Arabidopsis thaliana: one gene and its partner. The protein of the gene in region 2 interacts with the protein of the main gene of each other region in a pairwise test. Each region holds a gene or a part of one and is shown on either strand. Other genes may lie near its edges. The genes, in order: ACD11 and PRA7.

What was found.
Region 1: the proteins of PRA7 (region 2) and ACD11 interact in a two-hybrid assay, tested with the Arabidopsis thaliana proteins (one study listed by BioGRID).

Annotation. Positions count from the first base shown.
Region 1 is NC_003071.7:14,623,241-14,634,983, reverse strand, and holds ACD11 (Glycolipid transfer protein (GLTP) family protein), read right to left. Parts: upstream 4,999-11,743; 5' UTR 4,560-4,998; coding exon 4,368-4,559; intron 4,147-4,367; coding exon 3,974-4,146; intron 3,777-3,973; coding exon 3,628-3,776; intron 3,312-3,627; coding exon 3,205-3,311; 3' UTR 2,902-3,204; downstream 1-2,901. Other genes in the region: AT2G34700 (Pollen Ole e 1 allergen and extensin family protein), read left to right, coding at 376-686; AIR9 (Outer arm dynein light chain 1 protein), read left to right, coding at 6,175-6,337, 6,667-7,496, 7,595-7,666, 7,947-8,012, 8,103-8,174, 8,259-8,324, 8,457-8,519, 8,610-8,675 and 9 more. UniProt on the Arabidopsis thaliana protein: Exhibits selective intermembrane transfer of ceramide-1-phosphate (C1P) and phytoceramide-1-phosphate. Does not transport ceramide (Cer) or GalCer, suggesting a requirement for phosphate in the headgroup for functionality.
Region 2 is NC_003070.9:20,584,110-20,594,579, reverse strand, and holds PRA7 (PRA1 (Prenylated rab acceptor) family protein), read right to left. Parts: upstream 6,184-10,470; 5' UTR 6,131-6,183; coding exon 5,561-6,130; 3' UTR 5,381-5,560; downstream 1-5,380. Other genes in the region: AT1G55200 (kinase with adenine nucleotide alpha hydrolases-like domain-containing protein), read left to right, coding at 2,531-2,705, 2,794-2,948, 3,026-3,120, 3,204-4,174, 4,269-4,429, 4,505-4,581, 4,659-4,806, 4,929-5,078 and 1 more; PLDEPSILON (phospholipase D alpha 4), read left to right, coding at 6,951-7,043, 7,132-8,513, 8,597-8,982, 9,096-9,523; AT1G55175 (uncharacterized protein), read right to left, coding at 10,150-10,283, 10,445-10,470.

The DNA of each region.
Region 1 (11,743 bases), on a different chromosome or scaffold from region 2:
CCCCCAAAAAATAGTCTTGAGTTTAGGAAGTCTCATTATAGCTAACGATGCATGGTAGACATATTTCTGAATGAAGGAACTTGAATTAACGATTTTAATCCAAAAATTAGTGTGACTCAAATAAGCACTGATATGCTTAAGGTAAATTCCACTTATAGTGGTATTTGTATTTTTATAGTGTTGCATGCATGTTCTCTTCTTTTCAAACCAAACGACAAATTATTAGAAAACTTAAAACTGTATTTTAAAAAATTTACACATATGAAAAAAAATGTTACAATATGCATGGTACTTGTGCATTTCGCATTCGTCGAGTCTCTCACGCCACTTGGCTTTCATGCATCAAGTAAATCTTTTCGTTATTTTCAATGATAGGAGCGACCGTAAAGCTTGCATGCAACAACACAAAGAGAGGTGTGACAATGGAGACAAAAACAGACAAAAACGGATACTTCTTCATGCTAGCCCCAAAAAAACTCACCACCTACGCTTTCCACACGTGCCGGGCTTGGCCTACGAATCCTGGACCCACGACTGCAACGATGACATGCACCGTGCCGTCAAAGCTCAACAATGGAATAACCGGTGCTATGCTTAAGCCTTCTAAGACAATCAACATCGGTGAACACGACTACGTTCTCTTCTCTGTTGGTCCCTTCGCGTTTGAGCCTGCCTGTGCTCTTTGAAGACTATACTTTCGTTTTATGTATTTGGTGTGTGCTTGATTGTTATAATGATGATCACTAGTGATTTTAATGTTCTGTCTTGTTTGTTTTCTTGGTACGTTTCCATTTGAAATTTGTGTGTTTTGACATTATAAGATCGTTAGTGTGCATGTTTGTAGTAATTAGTACTATTTGTGGGGTTGATATGGTCTCAAACCATTGCTCTGACATTTCACAGTTTTATCAGTTGAAAACTTCAAGTAGGTACTTCCTTCTCCGGATCATTCATGAGATGGAAACCCAAATAAGGTTTTTGCTTGAAAATGTGAAATTTGGGAAGCCAGAAACGGCATCAGATATGGTTCTTGAAGAAGTTTGATCGACATAGTCCGGTTTATTTGCTGTGTAGTTCAGCCAACTAACGAAATCATCCCATCAGAGATAATGCCAAGATGGGCTGATATAGGTTGGTTTCTTGATGTTATGGTCAACACCGCAGTTTCCACACATCACTCATACTTCATCCTGTGGACACTTATGACATAAGCCATCGAGATATGATTATTAGAGGTGTGGCAACAGCATTCAGAAGTTTATTCCTATCGAACGCTAGATCTGAAGAAGAAGCTAACAAATTTGTTGACATGTCTTGAACTCTAGGCAGGCTTGGTACATCTGTTAATTATGTGATTTTTAATTCTTTTCATGAACTCATGTCTCTTCTTACATGTTTTTATTTGTTGATTTTGCTATCTCTACTATATATTTGCATAGTATCTGTATTGCTTTCGTTTCGGTTCTCTATATATATATATATAGAAGTAACATGTAACAATAACATTGCAAATTTGTAATGTATAACAAAATCATTGAAATATCAAGAATAGAGGTACAATATCATTAAATTAAACAAAACTTAATTATCAAGCAGCGGTATAAAGAGAAAATTTTGCAGAGTCGCATTATCGATCTGCTATGGCTTTAGGTTACTAATCTAAACCAAAAATACCAAATAAGCAAATAAACCACAAAGCAGAATAAAAGCAACCAATTGTATAAGTAAATTGAACACATCCTTTGACGACAGTCCCTCTCCGCCACAACATTTGACATGTCGTTTGGCCCAATAGAAACTCGCCACTAGAGCCATGATGAGGAGGAGACCAACAAGCAAGGTGGCTATAATAATGTAACCAATATTCTTCATATTGCTCTTCGAATTCACTGCACCAAAAATTTCTTCTTTTTAACTTTGTTTTGTGTCTTCTTCTTCTCCGGTATAGGTGATGTTTATATACACGTCTTGTCAACAGAAAAGTTAACATTTTTCACTAAGGAACATTGGAAGTTTTACATTTTACGGCACTTTCTTGATCCTCATACCATCATATATGTACACATGTATTTAGTGAATCAAAACTATTAAACTATTTTAACATTTTTCTTCTAAAATTAATAATTAATTTCTAAATTTCCTTAATTATTGTACAAAAAATTAAAAGCAATAAGTTTTTAAATTTCATTAATTATATGATGAAGAGTTTATATTTTTTTTCTCATTTTTCATTTTTTTTTAATTTTTTAATTACAAGATATATATAGTTTCTTTATGTTTAATTTTTTTTATATTTAATATTTTCTTAATTCAAAACTAAAATAATTATATTTCAATTTTTAGTTTATTTATTTATTTATAAGATACTAATAGTTTCTTTATATTTATCTTCTTTACTTTTCAATCCTTTTTAATTTTTATTTTTAAATTATAAGAGACATTTAGCTTTTTAATATTTATCTTCTTTACTTTTTAATCATAAATATTTTATGATAAATTAATTAAATTATGTATTGCTTGTTTTAGATACTGACATATCAAGCTGTGAGAGAGAGTTAAGCTTCTTTCATATATATAATACAACTAAAAAATTGAATCGTCAAAGAAAAATACCAGTAAAACAGAAATTTTCTGATTTTAAAAGGGCAAAAAGGTTAATAATGCCGAATTTTAACGAAGACGCTTTTGTCCGAAAAAGATTGTTAACTAGCGATGACTATGAGTCTTGAGATTCTTCACCAATAAATGCCGACTCGCTTGGATTAGGGATATATATCATCAAGATACGTGATTACTGGTGCCCATGCATTTACATAGTAATCTTACATTGTTAAATTTAACATTTTGTTACTATGTAATCTTACCTACGAAAATTAAAAATTAAAAATAATATATTTTTTTGTTGAATAAGTAACACAACTTGAAGCACCAACTACTTTGGTTTATACTAGAATTTCAAAACCAAAGAGAGTGAAATTGAAACAAACCGTTTAATACGTTCCTACAACCCGTGTAAAGCTTCTTCTGCTTACTATGAGATAAACTGTGTTTATTAAAAGAAGAGATAAAACGACAGATTAAGGACATACTCAATTTATTCCAATGTATTTCGTCGCTGTTGTTATGACATTACATAGCTTGATGTGAGAACATAGGTTATTTTGTCTAAAGAGTAACAATAGTTATGCCTTTTTTTCAGGCTCTTCACCAATCAATACCGAGTTGCTTGGAGAGGAATAGATTATCAAGATACGTGATTAATGGTGCCGATGAATTGACATAGCTTTGCATATGTATCTTAGCCGCCGCCTCTGTAACAACATTCATAAATAAATGAAAAAAACAATATCGTCAGCGAACATAATGAAGAAGAAACTCGATTTATGAAATCTCAAACAGAGATAGTATTGGAAAATTCAAAATCTAATATCCTACTGCCAAATGAACTTAAAACCAATGTGAATCTCAAAGAGTTCTCTCTTATGATACCAGGACTTATACAGGCCAAATATTGCCGTGATATCTACCTAATCCTGTGAAGACCTTGAAACTAATCTGACTACTTAAACTACTAGTTTATCAAACACACCATCCACTTTGAGCATATTAACTAGTTGATGAACTCACCATCCTCTTTGAGCATATTAAGTAGGTGAGCCCTTGTGGGAAGAGCATACATCCCAAGAGAAACAGCTTTCCGTATAGCCCATCCATGGTGGGGAGCAAACACTTGAGCATAAGACTTAGTTGCTGGATCCTTCAAGGAGTTATCTCCTCTGCAAAAGATATCAAACTACATTTCAATCTTCTAATCTTGACCAAAAATAAAAGAAAACTACAACAGGACTCCATTTTTTCATTTACTTCAGTGTCCATATTTAAATCACACATCCTACAAACTGGCACGGCTAATGCATTTGATCAAAATTTTCACAAGAACTCAAATAAGAGAGAGTTCAGAAGAATCACTTACTCGGAAGCTATGATCTGTTCAAAGAGAACTTTGACCATGTCAAGACCACGCTTAACCCTCAAAAGGTTTCTCGTATGACTACCAGCTTTCCTTACACAATCTGCCTCAATATCTTTGTCCATCATTACCACTAATGTCGATATCGAACTCGACGCCCTCACAAGATCATCAACCTATAGTCACATTCACAAGTTTTAACATTTCATTTTCCAAAACATTCATCCTCCAGATAAACAAACACAACATCCATTTCCATCAAATTAGCAAAATTCAGTCTGAGTACTACAGAAACTAAATCAATTCCAACATCTCACAATATACTCAATAGTACATGAAAGTGAACACAACTAGAAAAAGATTCGGACTTTGATTCAAATCTACTACATAAACAAACCTTGGCAACATAGTCCATTTCCGCAAACTTAAAAGCTATTCCAAGGCAACCAAAGAGAGGCGAGACCAGAGAGCAAGCGTGAGAGAATTGCGTTACAGGAACTTCCGGATTCGGTGAATTCACGATGATTGCTAGTTTTTTGAAAGCGGCTGAGATTTTTCTCAGTGGCTTATCTGCTTCCGAATCCGCCATGGAAGATCTCTCTCCTTCTCTCTCTCTGTCGTCTTCTCCTGATTAACAAGTTTTGTTCTTGTGTGATTATTCCGATTGGTGTTCTGTGATTTGCCGCGGAATCTACTTTGCTGCAAGACGACTCAAAAAGGCGGCGATTCGCTGATCACTAATTGTCTTTGTTTGGCGTTCAGATCATTCCTATCCTTCATCTGGATAGTATTATCCTCACCGTGTGAATGAATAACCGAATCCAACCGAAATAACCTGTAGGAATACCGAAATAATAGAATTGAATCCGAACCAAATTCGGTTTTGTGCAATTGAACCGAAGAAACATAAATACGTATGCTTAAACTATAGATAGTAGTTGGGCAATAGACTTGTGTTGAAGCTACTTGAAGAAAAGATGATGATGATGATGAATTATGAATAATGTTCAAGAATTAAGATATGAAGCTTTCATTGGGATACTTTAGTTAAAAAGATTATCATCATCAACAAATGTGATTTTTTTCAAACTTTCATTTATGTTCCACTCTGGCTATACATATTTTTGTTTTTCGATTCTTTTCATTGATTAAAACAAGGTACCAAAATTATAGGTAGGGGATAATAATATTTAGTGGGTTATACTAATAATTATTGGGTAGAAGGAATGGCGGATGCAATTATTTTGATTACTTATAAAAGATAGTGACATTAATTGATTCTTAGGTGGAGCTTATTTTAAAATTAATTGAAGATTTTTATGAGTAATAATTTAGGATAAGTAGAACACAAAAAATTTAAATTTTTTTAAAAAGGAATCTGTTTTCTTGACTTTTTGAGCACATCATTTTATCGTTGGTTAAATAAATAAAAACAATTTCATCAGTTTTCGAAAAACGTCCACTTGCCATTTAACTCTGCCTTTACGGTTTCCGCCAATTTAAAATTCTCTAAATTTTCAAACTTTTCTCTCTCACCATCAAATTCTCTAATTTATTCTCTTTTTATAATGTTCCTCTCTTTTCTTCTGGATAATTACTTTTCATTATAGTCCCTATACTACTATAATTATCCACAACTGTCTCATACTTTTATAACCGTTTTATCATTTTCACCGGGTAAACTTAGAAACAAAATTGAGTTTCCGACATCGCATGATAATTTTAAATGTAAGGTACTTGCATGGAACTTTAAAAAATAAGAGGGTGAAAAACATAAATTAAAGTATAATATAGGGGTGTATATTTTGGGTTAAACATATTACACAACACACTCTTCCGCTACACACTGTTTACACTGTTCCTTACTTTTTTTTCTTTTTCTTTCGCCAACATCTCTCTCTCCAGCTATTTTCCCTCAATTTTTAATCGTCGTTTTCACTTTTGTTCGATTCCATTCAAAAAAGCTTCAATCAGTGAGCTGCGTTTTTTATTCTCTGCTTCATCCAGATCTACATTTCTCTGTTTCAGCCTCTATTGCTCTGTTTAACAAGTTCTCAACGGCCGGAATCGTCGCCGGGATTCTCGCCACCGGAGTTATTGTGAAACGGTGAAAATGGGTTTTTGATTTTACTGGTTACTTCATTGTTCAGTGCAGTAAGTATTTATTTTCCTTGTCCTGTCTTACTATTGGTTTATTTCCTTAAATGAAGAAACTTTATTTTCCCCGAATTTCTTCATTGCTAAAAACTCTCACTTTCTGCAATTTCGTCTGCTTGTTTCACTCACAAGAATTTCACATTTTTTTCAAAAATAAACACTGCTTAATGCGGATTGGTTGTTCACAAAAGGACCAAAAAATCGTAGAAGGTAACCGACAGTGTTAGCTGAAAGAAGCCAGAAACTCTGTTTGTCTGTGTTCTTGAATTTAGACAATCTACTAAAGTCCGTACTTTTTTTATTAGTAAATCCTGTTATGACCGGACCCAATAAAGTAGAGTAATTGTTACATGCGCGTTCCATTCCAAACAATGTGCGTGGGCCACTTGGTCATTTGATTCTGTATTTTTACTTCGGAGAAATTTGGATACAACAAATAAAGTAGAGAGATTGTGTATAATGAATAAAGTTTCCTTTTTTTTGTTAATGATTTGATCATGCGTCTCTTCTGATTTGAGTTTCTTTTGTATCTGCATAAGTTTGGATTGATTTCACTATGGAGGAAGTAGCAGCTAAGGTTGAGGAAGAAACTGTGGAAACCAATGTAGATGCAGTGAAAGAGGACAATGCAACTATAGCTAATGAAAGCAGAAGCCCAGAGAGTGTTTCTGCAGTGTCTGTGGTGTCAAATCGAGCTGCTTCTACTAAAAAGAAACCAGTTATTAGTTCGAATTTAATAAAGCCAACTGCGTCTTCTTCATTACGGGTCTCGGGTACTACGCCTGTGACTATCAGGAGAAATAGTACTGGAGGAGTAACAGAGAATTTAGCTGGTACCTCTAAGGTTCTGCCTAAGCAAGTGAGTACTACTGCCTCACGTACTGATCCGGTAAGACGATCACTTCCAGAATTGAGGAAGAGCTCTGTGTCTTCTCTTTCTGCTAAGACTGTATCCAAACCAAGCCTTTCCGAGAGTAAAAAGTCTGTCCCCGTATCACCAGGTAGTCGGAGTTTGACAAAGTCAACTGGGTTTAGTTTAAGTAAGCCTGAGTCTTCTGCTAGACCAGCCATGAGTGTTTCTGTGTCTTCGAAAAGAGCTCCATCTTCATCAGTTGACAGTAGTGGCAGCAGGACTAGTAGTGGAAGACTACACTCTACTCTCACAAGTGGGAGGACAGTTTCTAAAGTTTCTTCTCCCTCTGCGGGATCATCACCTTCTGTTTCTAGCAGTATAAGATCAAAGTCATTTTCGTCACCTCTAGACCGGACTTCCAACTTCTCTGGACGGAAGAAAACATCTACCCCTGAAAGCCGTGATTCACGACTCATTATTCTTCCAAAGGTGGAGGTTAAAGCTGGCGATGACATGGTACAAATTCACTTTCTCTTTGTACTTGCTAGATTTTCATACAATAGGTTCAATCCTTTCTGTGGTTGTTGATTAATGGATGTCTGTAATTGCTTAAGAGATTGGATCTTAGAGGCCACAGGATTCGCAGTCTAACCTCTGGTGGCTTACACTTATCACCAAACTTAGAGGTAAACTTATATTTCCATAGTAACTTCACAGTGTTCTAGTGCAATGCTTTGTGACAATGATGTTTATGTACATATATGCCAATTGTGGATTTGAATAGAAGTAGGGAGGATTAGTTATTTACATCTCACGAGGAAAAACTTTGAATCTTCTTAGTGAGTTCCTGCTGCTAGTTTTAAAAATCTCCGAACGACAAATACAATCTTTTGGACACTAAATATGCCGCCTCATTTATGCGAGTATTCAACTTATTTTAATTTCCTCTACTTCTACTCTTTCCAGTTTGTCTATCTTAGAGACAATCTCCTATCTACGCTGGAAGGTATTGAGATATTGAATCGAGTCAAGGTCAGTAAATTCATTTTCCTGGGGTTCTTGGTTTTTAATAGATATATATGCTCACACTAGCTATGATTCTGTTACTATCATTAATCTCAGGTTCTGGATTTGAGTTTTAATGATTTCAAAGGGCCTGGATTTGAACCACTTGAGAATTGCAAAATGCTGCAGGTTTCTTTCTCTCCCATTCTATCCTTGGTTCTTCCTTCATGAGTGCTATCTGATGAACATTTAAATCTTATATTACTTGGGCAGCAACTTTATCTTGCTGGAAATCAGATAACTTCACTTGCTAGTCTGCCTCAACTTCCAAACTTAGAGGTGAGCATCAGAAATTACAAAGCCTCTTGTTCCAATTTTGTGCCAAATAATTGCTATCAAGTCTTCATACTTACATACTTGTGGATTGCCCCTTACTTTTTCCAACTATCACCTTTCTTGTTCCCATGGTAGTTTCTCTCGGTTGCTCAAAATAAATTAAAGTCACTTGCAATGGCAAGCCAGCCCCGGCTTCAGGTAGATTTTCTGTTTCAGAATTGAGGTTGTTTTCAGTACCTTGTTACAAGTCATAGTTTTTTAGAGATCTTATAAATTTTTTTTTCTCAGGTACTAGCAGCAAGTAAGAACAAGATAACAACTCTGAAGGACTTTCCGTATCTACCAGTTCTTGAGGTTTCAATCTTTATGTTCCCAATTTTTATTTTTTTCACACATTTCTTATTTGGCTGATTGGTTGTCGCATGCACTGCTTTAATAAAACATCTTATGGGACATGAGATTACCTAGTATAAAAGATTGAAAAACCACCACTTATGGGAAATTCTCTCCTCTGAACCAATGGTCCAATTTGAGTACTTAATTTTTTGGTAATGGCATTTGGCCCTGTTATAACAGAAACAATGTTCCATTAATTCAATACATATATACTAATACGTAGTTTGTAATTTCATATTGTGTTTTTCCTTTTACAGCATCTGCGGGTTGAGGAAAATCCATTGCTGAAGATTTCTCACTTGGAAGCGGCATCCATACTACTCGTAGGTCCTACCTTGAAGAAATTCAATGACAGAGGTACTCTTTTGTAGAACGAAGTGCTGTAGTTTGCTTAAGACTGATCGTTTCATGAGAAAGATGACTAGCATGTCTAAGTTTTCATTCATCATATGGCCTTCCAAGTAAGAATTTTTCTGATGGTGAAATCTGAGCAATAGCATGTTAGAAGAGGTAGGAGATTTTGCGATGTTAGATCAATGGAGATAAACACAAATGATTTTATCTTTATCAATTGTTTTTGATAATCTGGATGGAAACTACTTCTGAACGGTTGGATTTCTTGGAATTGTGGGAATAACACAACTAACATACTGGCTGTATTTTAAAAAATAATAACCGCAATGATTAAATATAAAAGATTTAGGAATGAAGTGTTTTACTGATACATTAGAAAGTATTCAGAAGTTGTTTCTTGGGATGTAGCTTGGCATTTATCTAGGTCTATGTGGTCCATGATAACCTTAAAATTTTTCTTTAGATCTCTCTCGTGAGGAAGTGGCAATTGCCAAGCGTTATCCTCCACAAACAGCTCTCTGCCTCAGAGAAGGTTGGGAGTTTTGCAAGTCTGATCTTGCAGCAGGTATGTATCTGCCTCTCAGAGTTGTATAATCTTTCATTGTAGCTTGATGGTAGTGCAATCTTCATATGAAAACTAAAACCTTTCACTCTCCCTTGATTTTTATTTGTTACCAATGGTCACACTTAGAAAGTTGACTGTTTAATCAAATTAGCATTTTCATCCCTTTCGTACTAGTTGCTAGTTGAACTTTTATGTGAATAGATAAGTCCGTTTGTTCAACTCCAAGTTCCGTATTTGCATCTAATAACTTTTAAATATTCATATTCCTGCAACTTCTTGTGTGCAGAATCGACATTCCGCTTCTTAGTTGAGAGGTGGAAGGACACATTACCTTCTGGTTATCTTATTAAAGAAGCACATGTTGACCGACCTTCTGAAGAAGCTCCCTGTCAATGCCACTTTGGTCTTTTTCAGGAAAGTCCTACTGCTACAGATCAAGAATTAGCCCTGAAATTTCAATGGTCTGTGGCGGACAGATCTCTTTCTAATTTCGTTCCTATTCTTAATGCAACCAAGGAGGTAAAATTTACTTTGCCATATTTTCATTTGCATGTGTAAAAAAGTATCTGTTCTTTTATTCTCTTTCTAATTTGCAATAGGTCTATTGGCCCAAACGTGAAGACATTGGTAAAATTCTAAAGATAGAATGTACACCTGTTATGGCTGAGACTGAATATCCATCCATATTTGCCATATCTTCCCCAGTTCAACGAGGTATGCTTCTTCAGTTATACAATAGGCCATATGGACGTTTTCCATTTTCATGTGCTTTGCACTGTATCCTTCTATTGGTGTCCTCTAGAATATCACAGTGAAGTGCTGTGCAGGAAAGGGAATACCAAAAGTTGTGAGCCTTGAATTAAATGGGGAACTAGTTGAGGGGAATATTATCAAGGGTCAAGCAGTGGTTGCATGGTGTGGTGGGACACCAGGAAAGTGTATTACCAGGTAAATCGTGTTTTCTGCTATCTCCTTTTGTTATATGCAGCTTCTAATAATTCTGTCTATTCTAATTTGTTGATTCACTTATCATTAATAACCAAAGAGGTATGGTTTCCTTTTTTAAAACCAGTTGGTTGAGGAGAAAGTGGAATGGGAGCCCTGTGGTGATCGATGGAGCTGAAGATGAGGAATATATGTTATCTTTAGATGATGTGGGATCAAGTATGGTTTTCATGTACACACCAGTCACAGAAGGAGGTGCAAGAGGAGAGCCTCAGTATAAGTACACAGAGTTCGTAAAAGCAGGTAGATGGAAAAAACTTCTAATAGATAGTATCTTTTCCTTTTTCACTACATTCGCATAGCATTGTCATTTGTGTTTCTTTGCTTTCATTATTGACTAATGGTTCAAAGTCTCTGTGGTTGCTTGCTTCTTTTGAATAGTTGTTGAATTCTTTACGATAGCAATAATCTTATTTATCTAATTTTATCTATGGATTAGTGTAAATTCCTGTCAACTGTTTTCAGATTGATTAACTTGCATGATAAAACTGATTCATGTAGTGTAGTGGTTGTTATTTGTATATTTCTTTATTTTTCATCTTTTAAACTACTAATGCCGCTGTCTGTGAATTTCCTGATCTGAGGGTACTAACTTTAAATTCTGGTGGCAGCGCCTCCATCTGTAAGTAATGTTCGAATTACTGGAGATGCTGTTGAAGGCTGCGTTCTCAAGGGGGTTGGAGATTATTTTGGAGGCAAGGAAGGTCCTAGCAAGTTCGAATGGTTACGGAAGAACAAGGAAACAGGGTAACTATACATGAGTGTCTGAATGTGTTGTCACTGCAGTATCTCTACTTTCTTTTTTCATGTTTCTTGGTCATGTTTGCTTAAAGCATATGTTTTATTACAGAGAACTCTCGTTGATATCGGCTGGAACCTCCGAGTATACATTGACCCAGGAAGATGTTGGCACACATGTAACTTTTGTGTACATACCTGCAAATTTTGAGGGTTGGTTTTCTTCCCGTTTCTTTTCCCTCGGGTTCTTACTTAGAAGAAAGCCTCAAATTATAGAGGGTTAGGCCGTAGACAATTCTGACGTATTCTAGAAAATTGCAGGGCTAGAGGGGGAACCAGTGTCAACTTCATCCAGTGTAGTCAA
Region 2 (10,470 bases):
AGAGTTGAAGAAGACGAAGATGACTAGATCGGACATTTTAGGGTTTAAGGGTGCTTCCCGGGATCTTTACGGGTCGGGTCGGGTCGGGTCAAACAGATGGCTGGACTATCCAATAAGGAGGAGAGACTAACTAAAACGTCGTCGTTTCTATTTTTTGTACACTGTGAAGGAAAAAAGGTCGTCGTTACTCGTTCTTAATTATGTTCTTCTATAAGAGCTAGAATCTAGTATTATTCTTGCTTTGTTGAACCGTTAGGAAAAAAAAAACTATTTTAGTGTGGGTTTTCCATTTATTCCATGATTAATTATTTGCTTAGTGAAGAAGGTTTTTTTAAAAAATATTCATTATGAGAAAAATGGACTTCAGTAAAATGTTTTTCATGCATAATAATTGGTTCATGAAGGTATACATCTTAGAACACTCAATTGTTTTCGAGTAAATGTGTTTATACTTTTGTTTAAACGATGTCTCTAGCAAAACAAGGGTAACCTGTTGAAATTTATACATAAGCCAAAACAAGGTTCTAGAGTAGACAATGAACAGCCTTCAATGGTGAGTAGATGTAAAACTTGTCAACTTTCATCCCTAATATATACTCTGAATTAAATGCCACACACAGATACAATGTATTAATCACTCTAATTTCTTATAAATTAGTAGATGGTTTATAATCCTTCCAAAACTAAAATTTTGTCTTTTCCTTAAGATTTTGAATAAATACGGTGATTAGCACGAGACATTAGTTTAATCGTTGTGTTATTCGTTGTCGCATTTATACACATAGCACATTGCCCAAGCCGCTGACAGCCGCCACTAAAATGTTTACGTTTCTACTCGATTAATTTTCTTAACATTTTTTAAAATATTAAGTTTTCATTGATTTTAGCATCTCAAGAAGTGTGACAAGACGAGGACTGATAACAGCCGTAAATATTTAACAATCGGAGAGTGATTGATTGGTTGGAGAAACGCAGCTTATATTGGTCCTTGTGATGGTGACAGGTCTTAAACTCTATCAATGCCTAACACACACAAAACAAGATACTCCATTTTGAACTATTTTTCATCCAATTTGTTTGTGTCTAGTTTAGTTTAAACTTTAAACTAATTACTGGCTAATGCAACATCGTTTCAGCTTACTAGAAGTTACAAAAAAAAATTCAAACTAAAGTTTTACTTACATGTTGAAGAAAAGAAAGAAAGTTTTGCTTACACTTAAGAAAGGACAAAAGGTACGTTAAAGAACTCGACTATGATGGCAGAGATATTTGAAATTGTTACATTATTTTTGTTATCAGTCTAAAAACTGGTTTAATCACTTAAATATTATTTTAATTCCAACCTCATGAAACAAAGGAACATTGGGAATGAGTAAAATACAAAATTAACTTTTTTTGATTGGAAAGATTTTTTATTTTTTACATAACTCATTGGATCATTCATGTTAACCTATAGTAGTAACAAAGAGAGAGAGAGAGAGAGAGGGTCAGTGAATAAAGGGTTTTTGGTTTCACAGTGTTGAGAAAAAACAAGAACCCTAAAAAGCTGCTTTTTATCACATATTTTCGCGCTTTTCTGCTTGTTTGTATATGAGTCCAGCATTTATGCTGCTTCTTCTCTACATTTTTATACACTGTCTTGTTTCTATCTCTATAAACGTGCTTTTGTTGTTTAAAGCTGAAAACTTCCAAGTCAGACAAAACATAGCCATATCTATGCTTCATGTTATGTAAGATCATACAATTACTAAACGTTCTGTTTCACACTTGTGCCCTTCTTCCTTACATCTCGCTCATTTTCATGGCGGTGAAATATATGAGTGCTTATCTTGGTGAGAAATTTCATAATCTTTATTTGAATAATCTCCTTGTGATGCAGTTGTACACATGATTGATTGATGATAATATAAGAAAATACTATATTTTTGTGTCTTTTAGTAAGGGTTTAATTTAATGTATCAATCTCTAACTGCAAAATCTAGTTTAAAGGAGTACTACTTATTTTGGCAGTTTCCGTTTCAAAAACTCATTTATCTCATTCTCTTATTGTATTTGTAGGTGTGATTTTGGAGATTGGTAGATTCTGAGCAAGCAGAGACATTTGAACCGTGTTGCCCATCATTTCCTCTTTTCTATTTCTTGAAAAACATTGACTCAGTGATTTGAATAAAAAGGGATAGATTTGAGAGATAAGCATCTCTTTGGATCTTTGGGATTTTTGGATTGAGTTTGCCCCCAATAGCTGGTTGGGAATCTCAAAAGTAGGATTTTTTACTTCAGGGTTTTGTATTTTCTGTTTTGAAGTTTATGTGATTCAGTGAGTGAGAGGTCTTGTCATGTCTATTGAGTTTTGTATGCATCTGCAAACAAAGTATTGTGTGTTTGGTCTGATTTTGTCTTGATTTCCAACTTGCCATAATAATGCAATCATATCTACAGAATCTATCTCTACGAGAAGCTACTTTATCTCCAAGGATCATTTAGAAATCAAGAGGAATCTAGAGAATTGTTCTTGCAAAAGTCCTCTTAAATGAGCAGAGAGAAACAGGGGAAGAGATCAGGTTCTAATGGGACTGAGAAGGTTCTTGTTGCTGTCAAAGCATCTAGGGAGATTTCAAAGACAGCATTTGTTTGGGCCTTGACTCATATTGTTCATCCTGGAGATTGCATTACTCTGATTGTTGTTGTTACTTCTTACAATGCTGGTACTTTCTTCTTCTTTGGTATCCAATCATGGAGATTAGTTTGCTCTGTTTTATTCATTGTCTTTCTTTTGTTTGGTCTTTTTGTTAGGCCGAAAGCTATGGACTTTCCCTAGGTTTGCTGGAGATTGTGCTACTGGTCATTGGAAACTGCATTCTGATCCAATGTCTGAGATAAAGAGTGATCTCACTGATACTTGTTCCCAAATGATTCTCCAGCTTCATGATGTATATGATCCAAACAAGGTTTGAAAATTAGTCCACCATCAAAATAATGATATTCTGAAATATCTAGAGTTATTCTCATGCTTGTTTCTTTGAAGGTTAATGTCAGGATCAAGATTGTTTCTGGATCACCATGTGGAGCTGTTGCGGCTGAGGCCAAGAAATCTCAAGCAAATTGGGTAGTTCTTGATAAGTAAGTTAATAATCTGATTTTATTCTTCAGTTCTTTAGTTTTTACTCTCTTTGTGTGGTTGAATGATTATATTTCTTTTACAGGCACCTTAAGCATGAAGAGAAACGGTGCATAGATGAGTTACAATGTAACATTGTGGCGATGAAGCGTTCTGAGGCAAAAGTCCTGCGGTTGAACTTGGTCGGGTCTTCAACAAAGGAACCAGAATTAGCATCTGAAAAAAACAAAAACAGGTTGTTAGATTCTGTTAAAGCGGTTGTTACAACTACTCCAATGAGCAGTCCTGAGGTTGAGACATCATTCACAGGAACAGAAGCTTGGACTTCATCAGTATCTAGCTCTGACCTCGGTACATCATCGCCAGTTTTCACAGCTGAAGTGAGAAAGGATGAAACTTTGGTCGTCAAAGAGAATGAATCTGATTCTGATTCAGAGAGCGAAAATCTATCACTACCTTCCTTAAGTAAGAGATTCCAACCATGGATATCAGAATATCTTAGCACTCATTGCGTCTCGATGCAGGAATCAACGAGAGGCGATGATAAGGCTGTTCAAGTATCTACTAAAAAGGCTTTGCTTGAGAAAATTTCTAAGCTTGATGAAGGAGAAGAAGCAGCTATGTCAAGTAAAAGGAAAGACTTGGAGGAGTATAGTGGAACCTTAAGAGCGTTATCACGAAATGCTCCTCCTGTTTCACCTCCTCTCTGTTCTATATGCCAGCACAAAGCGCCTGTATTTGGAAAACCACCGAGGTTTTTCTCCTACAAAGAGTTAGAGCTTGCAACAAACGGGTTTTCGCGAGCTAATTTTTTGGCAGAAGGTGGATTTGGATCTGTTCATAGAGGTGTATTACCTGAAGGCCAGATTGTAGCAGTAAAGCAACACAAAGTGGCCAGTACACAAGGAGATGTAGAGTTTTGCTCTGAAGTAGAAGTTTTGAGCTGTGCTCAGCATCGAAACGTAGTTATGTTAATCGGTTTCTGCATCGAAGATACCAGAAGACTCTTGGTCTATGAATACATATGCAATGGATCATTAGACTCTCATCTATACGGTAAATAGAGTTTCCAAGTTAGTTAAAGATGTTGTTAACCTAAAAAACACTTAACTAGAGTTATCTAACTAACTTTCATGAAATGTCCATTTAGGTCGCCATAAGGACACTTTGGGATGGCCTGCAAGACAAAAAATAGCGGTTGGAGCGGCTCGAGGTCTTCGATATCTTCATGAAGAGTGTAGAGTAGGTTGCATTGTTCACCGAGACATGAGGCCTAACAATATACTAATTACTCATGATTATGAACCACTGGTATTTATATTTTCTTGAACCACAATTTACACTTTTTTATACATTCGTTTGATTCTGTTTTTGTTTCTCTTTCAGGTTGGAGATTTTGGTTTAGCAAGATGGCAGCCTGATGGAGAGCTAGGTGTAGACACGCGTGTGATAGGAACTTTCGGGTAACAAAATTTATAACTAAATCATCATTCTCACTCTAGAGTAATTTCTCAACTACTTTCTGTGTTTCTTGTTTTAGCTATTTAGCTCCAGAGTATGCTCAAAGTGGACAAATCACAGAGAAAGCCGATGTTTACTCGTTCGGGGTTGTATTGATCGAACTAATCACGGGTCGTAAAGCAATGGATATCTACAGACCAAAGGGACAACAATGTTTAACTGAATGGGTAAATCCATAAGTTTCTTCTTTTTAAGGTTTCTTAGCTCATTTTCAGTCTCTTCTTGTAAATGAAATCTAAAAGTTTCTTTCTTGAAGCTCATTTTGTTATTTTATTTTCTTTGTGAGCAGGCAAGATCTTTATTAGAAGAGTATGCGGTTGAGGAATTAGTTGATCCGAGGCTCGAAAAGCGATATTCAGAAACACAAGTCATTTGCATGATTCATACAGCTTCATTGTGTATACGTAGAGATCCACATTTGCGTCCTCGCATGTCTCAGGTAAAGAAAAGATTCACCATTCTTGAAACATGTTCATTTCTTTAAGTCAATAAAACTCTCTCAAGTGTGTCTGCTCTTTTGCTTGTTGTTGAAGGTGTTGCGTTTATTGGAAGGAGATATGTTAATGAATGAAATCTCAGGGAGGTTTAATGGAAGACTATCCACTGAGAAAGGTCTCAGAGATCATAACTAAAAGCTCAACTAGCCAATCTGATCACTTTCTTTTGGTATAGTGCGTAGGATCAATAGAAGAATTTTGTAAAATCAAAGTCCTCTTAATTGACAATTATGGTTTTTTAGTAGCTTTATCCAAAGTGATTAGTGTTTGTAGTGCTAATCATGTAATAACGTAATTAACCAACAAAACATACTCAAAAATTGTACTGTTGTCAACAAATTGAACAAAGTAGAAGAACATGTCAAGTTTTCTCAAATCGCACCAAACTCAGTAACATACAAAAAAAAAAAACAAATTTTTGGATTTACGACGAAGGGTATGACATCAGCCCTGAAGCTTCAGTAACCGCCGCAGCTTCTTCATCAAGAAACAAATTATCACTTCTTCTAACCGCCGCATGAATCAGAACCAACACGGCGGCGGTTAACAAAGATCCCAGAATATTCGAAGTAGCGTGAGTCAACAAAAGCATCACAACCGTCAAAACCGATAAACCAATAAGAACCGTCCGATCATCAATCTGATAACCAAAAACAACAAGAGGCTCGTCACGGAGGAAATAGAGAAAGATCCAGAAGACGACCAAGATTGATAACACGATCAACGAGGTTGGGTGATATAGAAGGCTTAGGAAGAGGATGAAGAGAACTCCGATGGCGTAATTAGCTCTGAAATAGCCGAGATTCGTTTTGATCCTCGAGATCGCGTCGAAGAAACCGTGAGGGAGAGTCATTGATTCGAAATCGAACATTGATTTCCATGGGCGGCGCGTAGCTAGACCGGATTTTATACGGTGTTTGGCGCGTGAGATGTATTCGAGATCTATCGCCGGTGATGGATGAGACGACGTCGGAATCGCCCCGTAGTTCGTCATTTTTGGAGAAGAGAGACACGAAGCTTTTTTTTTTGTTGGTTGTAATAATTTATAAATTGCTCAGTGTCCCTATGGATTAGGTGATGGTGCTAATGTAAATGTCACATATGGATAAAAGTTGTTACATGCCCAATAAATACATAAATGCTTTATATTGTAATAATTTTTTATTTGTTTTGCAACTGTACATTTATGGTAACAATATTGGTATTATATGTGTTTAACAGTCAGCATCATAGAGACATATTCTTAGGAAAATGTACAGCATATTATATTCTCTGTCATTTTCAAAACATAAATCTGATTAATTACTTGTAAACAGCATAATTTTATTCATTAGAAGGATTAATTTTTTTTTCCGGCAGAATAAAAATTTCATATTATTAGTTCACCAAAGAAACTGCGACCGAGTGGTTTCTTTGGCAGCGCTTTGTTGCTGCACGTGGCTTATCCCCACAAATATTTACAAACTCCACCAGATATTTTCATGCTTTCACATTTTAGTCCCAACCTTTTGTTTGAATACCATCTAACACTTTGCTTTTTAAAATTCCTATTTTTAAAAACCGAAGTCGAATGCTTGATTTGTATTCAAAGACACTTCACCTTCGATTTTGTCATCTATATGGTTGAATGTTTTCTTTAAGATTGTCCATGGAGAATCCTACAAGTTTCACCAAAAACATTAACAAATACATATACATATATGGATGGACATAACCTTGTGCATTCTGTAATTGACCAGCTTCAAACACATACTTGACAATTCACAGAAAATTATCTCTCATTCTCTTAAAGATACATTTTGAATAAAGAGAAGATGGAGCTTGAAGAACAGAAGAAGTACTTTCATGGAACACTAGAGATTACAATCTTCGATGCAACACCTTTTTCTCCTCCATTTCCTTTCAATGTAAGTCTATATCATATACTGAATTAGTGACTCTGATGATGTTATCATTGTGTTCATTTTCATGAGCTTTTGTTATCTTTGTTCACAGTGTATATGTACAAAGCCAAAAGCAGCTTACGTGACCATCAAGATAAACAAGAAGAAAGTTGCTAAAACAAGCTCAGAATACGACCGTATTTGGAATCAGACTTTTCAGATCCTCTGCGCTCACCCGGTTACTGACACGACTATCACCATCACGCTCAAGACTCGATGTTCTGTTCTCGGAAGATTCCGAATCTCTGCAGAACAGATCCTGACATCTAATTCAGCAGTTATCAACGGGTTCTTCCCTCTGATTGCAGACAATGGGTCAACGAAACGTAACTTGAAGCTTAAGTGTTTGATGTGGTTCAGACCGGCTTATCTTGAACCGGGATGGTGCAGAGCGCTTGAAGAAGCGTCTTTTCAAGGTATTAGGAACGCAAGCTTCCCTCAAAGATCGAACTGCAGAGTCGTACTGTATCAAGATGCACACCACAAGGCCACATTTGATCCAAGGGTTGATGATGTTCCTTTTAATGCAAGGAATCTATGGGAAGATGTTTACAAAGCGATCGAAAGTGCTAGGCACTTGGTTTACATTGCAGGATGGGCACTAAACCCTAATCTTGTTCTTGTACGCGACAACGAAACTGAGATTCCACATGCGGTTGGAGTAACGGTTGGCGAGCTTCTGAAACGGAAATCAGAGGAAGGTGTAGCGGTGAGAGTAATGTTGTGGAACGACGAGACGTCTTTACCAATGATCAAGAACAAAGGTGTAATGAGAACAAACGTCGAAAGAGCTCTTGCTTACTTCAGAAACACAAACGTTGTTTGTAGATTGTGTCCAAGATTGCACAAAAAGCTCCCTACAGCGTTTGCACACCACCAAAAGACAATAACACTGGATACACGGGTGACAAATTCAAGCACGAAGGAGCGAGAGATCATGAGCTTCCTTGGCGGGTTTGACCTTTGCGATGGTCGATATGACACTGAGGAGCATTCACTGTTTCGTACACTCGGAACAGAAGCTGATTTTTACCAGACAAGTGTAGCTGGAGCTAAGCTAAGTAGAGGCGGACCAAGAGAGCCATGGCATGATTGCCATGTGTCCGTGGTTGGAGGAGCGGCTTGGGATGTCCTGAAGAACTTCGAACAGCGATGGACGAAACAGTGTAACCCTTCCGTGTTGGTTAACACTTCAGGGATCAGAAACTTAGTAAACCTAACCGGACCTACTGAGGAAAATAACAGGAAATGGAATGTTCAAGTTCTGAGATCGATAGATCACATATCGGCAACAGAGATGCCAAGAGGTTTGCCGGTAGAGAAGAGTGTACACGATGGCTATGTCGCAGCAATTCGAAAGGCTGAGAGGTTTATCTACATCGAGAATCAGTATTTCATGGGAAGCTGTGATCATTGGGAGAGCAAGAACGATAAGTACGAAATTTCTCTTAACGAAGCTATTAAATATCCATTGGGAGATTCTGATCTATTTTAGTATTTCTTTTTTTGATGGATAGAATCTGCAGCGGATGCACAAACTTGATACCTGTCGAAATAGCGTTAAAGATTGCTGCTAAGATACGTGCAAGGGAGAGATTTGCTGTGTATATAGTCATACCGATGTGGCCGGAAGGGCCACCGGAGAGTGAAACGGTTGAAGAGATACTTCATTGGACGAGAGAGACGATGTCAATGATGTATCAGATCATTGGAGAGGCGATATGGGAAGTTGGAGACAAGTCGCATCCGAGGGATTATCTAAACTTCTTCTGTCTTGCAAACAGAGAAGAGAAGAGAGATGGGGAGTTTGAAGCAGTTTCGTCGCCCCACCAGAAAACGCATTACTGGAATGCGCAGAGGAATCGGAGATTCATGGTCTATGTCCACTCCAAGCTCATGATAGGTAACAAACAATCCGCAATTCACAATCTGAAATGAAAATATATTGAAGATTCGTTAAACTTTCACAAACTTTCACTTAAGATTTAAATTACAGAGATTGTCATATGTTTGTAGTGGACGACACATACATTTTGATAGGATCAGCCAATATAAACCAGAGATCAATGGATGGTTGTCGGGACACCGAGATTGCAATAGGTTGCTACCAAACCAATACCAACAACACCAACGAAATCCAAGCTTACCGGTTATCGCTCTGGTATGAGCATACCGGTGGCAAGATCACGGCAGATGACTTATCATCGTCAGAGCCAGAGAGTCTTGAATGTGTCCGAGGGTTACGGACAATAGGAGAGCAAATGTGGGAGATTTACAGTGGAGACAAGGTCGTAGACATGCTCGGTATCCATTTGGTCGCCTATCCAATTAGTGTGACAGGAGATGGTGCAGTTGAGGAAGTCGGTGACGGTTGCTTTCCTGATACCAAGACCTTGGTGAAAGGAAAGAGGTCCAAGATGTTTCCTCCTGTTCTAACCACCTGAAAAAATGTCCGAATCAGAATCATTCTTAGATCATAACTTGCAATACATATATATAAATAACATTCAGCCTGTTAATTATGATGAAATACGCATATAAATGTTTGATTATGAGAGGATGTATTTAGTGGTTAACACACTTACTGGTTTCTGTTATAACCATTCCGGTCCCTTTGTCGTTTCCAACTTGTAGATGAATGGTCTTTTCAAGCTTTGTCGCCTGTAACAAGGAGAAGAATAATCAAAACCTGTATATACATGAAACGAGCAGTTTTCAACAGCTAATATTTATGCAAAGCATACAATGCTACGTGACTTAGCAGACTGGATCTCTACATCTAATGTCTAAAAGGTGAACCGGAATGGAGCTTGAAGAAGAATCATTTCCTATCCGTGTCCAAGCTCATCTAATGGCTAAGTAACAAATCTCCCTTATTTCATCGTGTACTGTTCCAAGAAGCTTCACACTACTGGAAACTTGCATCTTTGCAGCACCGCTTCAATTCTAGATCTGGAGTAACAACTCTGTTAATCCTCAGAGATTACAGTCCAATGCTATTCAATATGTCCTTGATAAGAACACATGAGGGCAAACATTTCTGAAGATGTAAGTCGTTTCTAACTCACTCTTAAGCTGGAAAGTTCTCAGAGTCTTCGGAAAAGCAAGAGGGAAGTAAACTAAGTTCCTCTAGATTTAAATCGATACAACCTTTCATCCTTGTAAAACCTACACCTAACTTCAGAGCAATATAAAGACTTAAAACTTAAACCCACAGCAGTAGGTTAGTAGCAGTAAACTCCAGGATAAAGTGAGCTAATCCTATGTATTTCTTATCTACAAAACCTTTGCCTTTATTAACATGGGTAAGATAATCCTTTCCAATCTCTAAAGAACTTTGCTTCCGTGCTACTCCAGAAACCAACGTAGTGAACCATCTTCAAGAACAGCT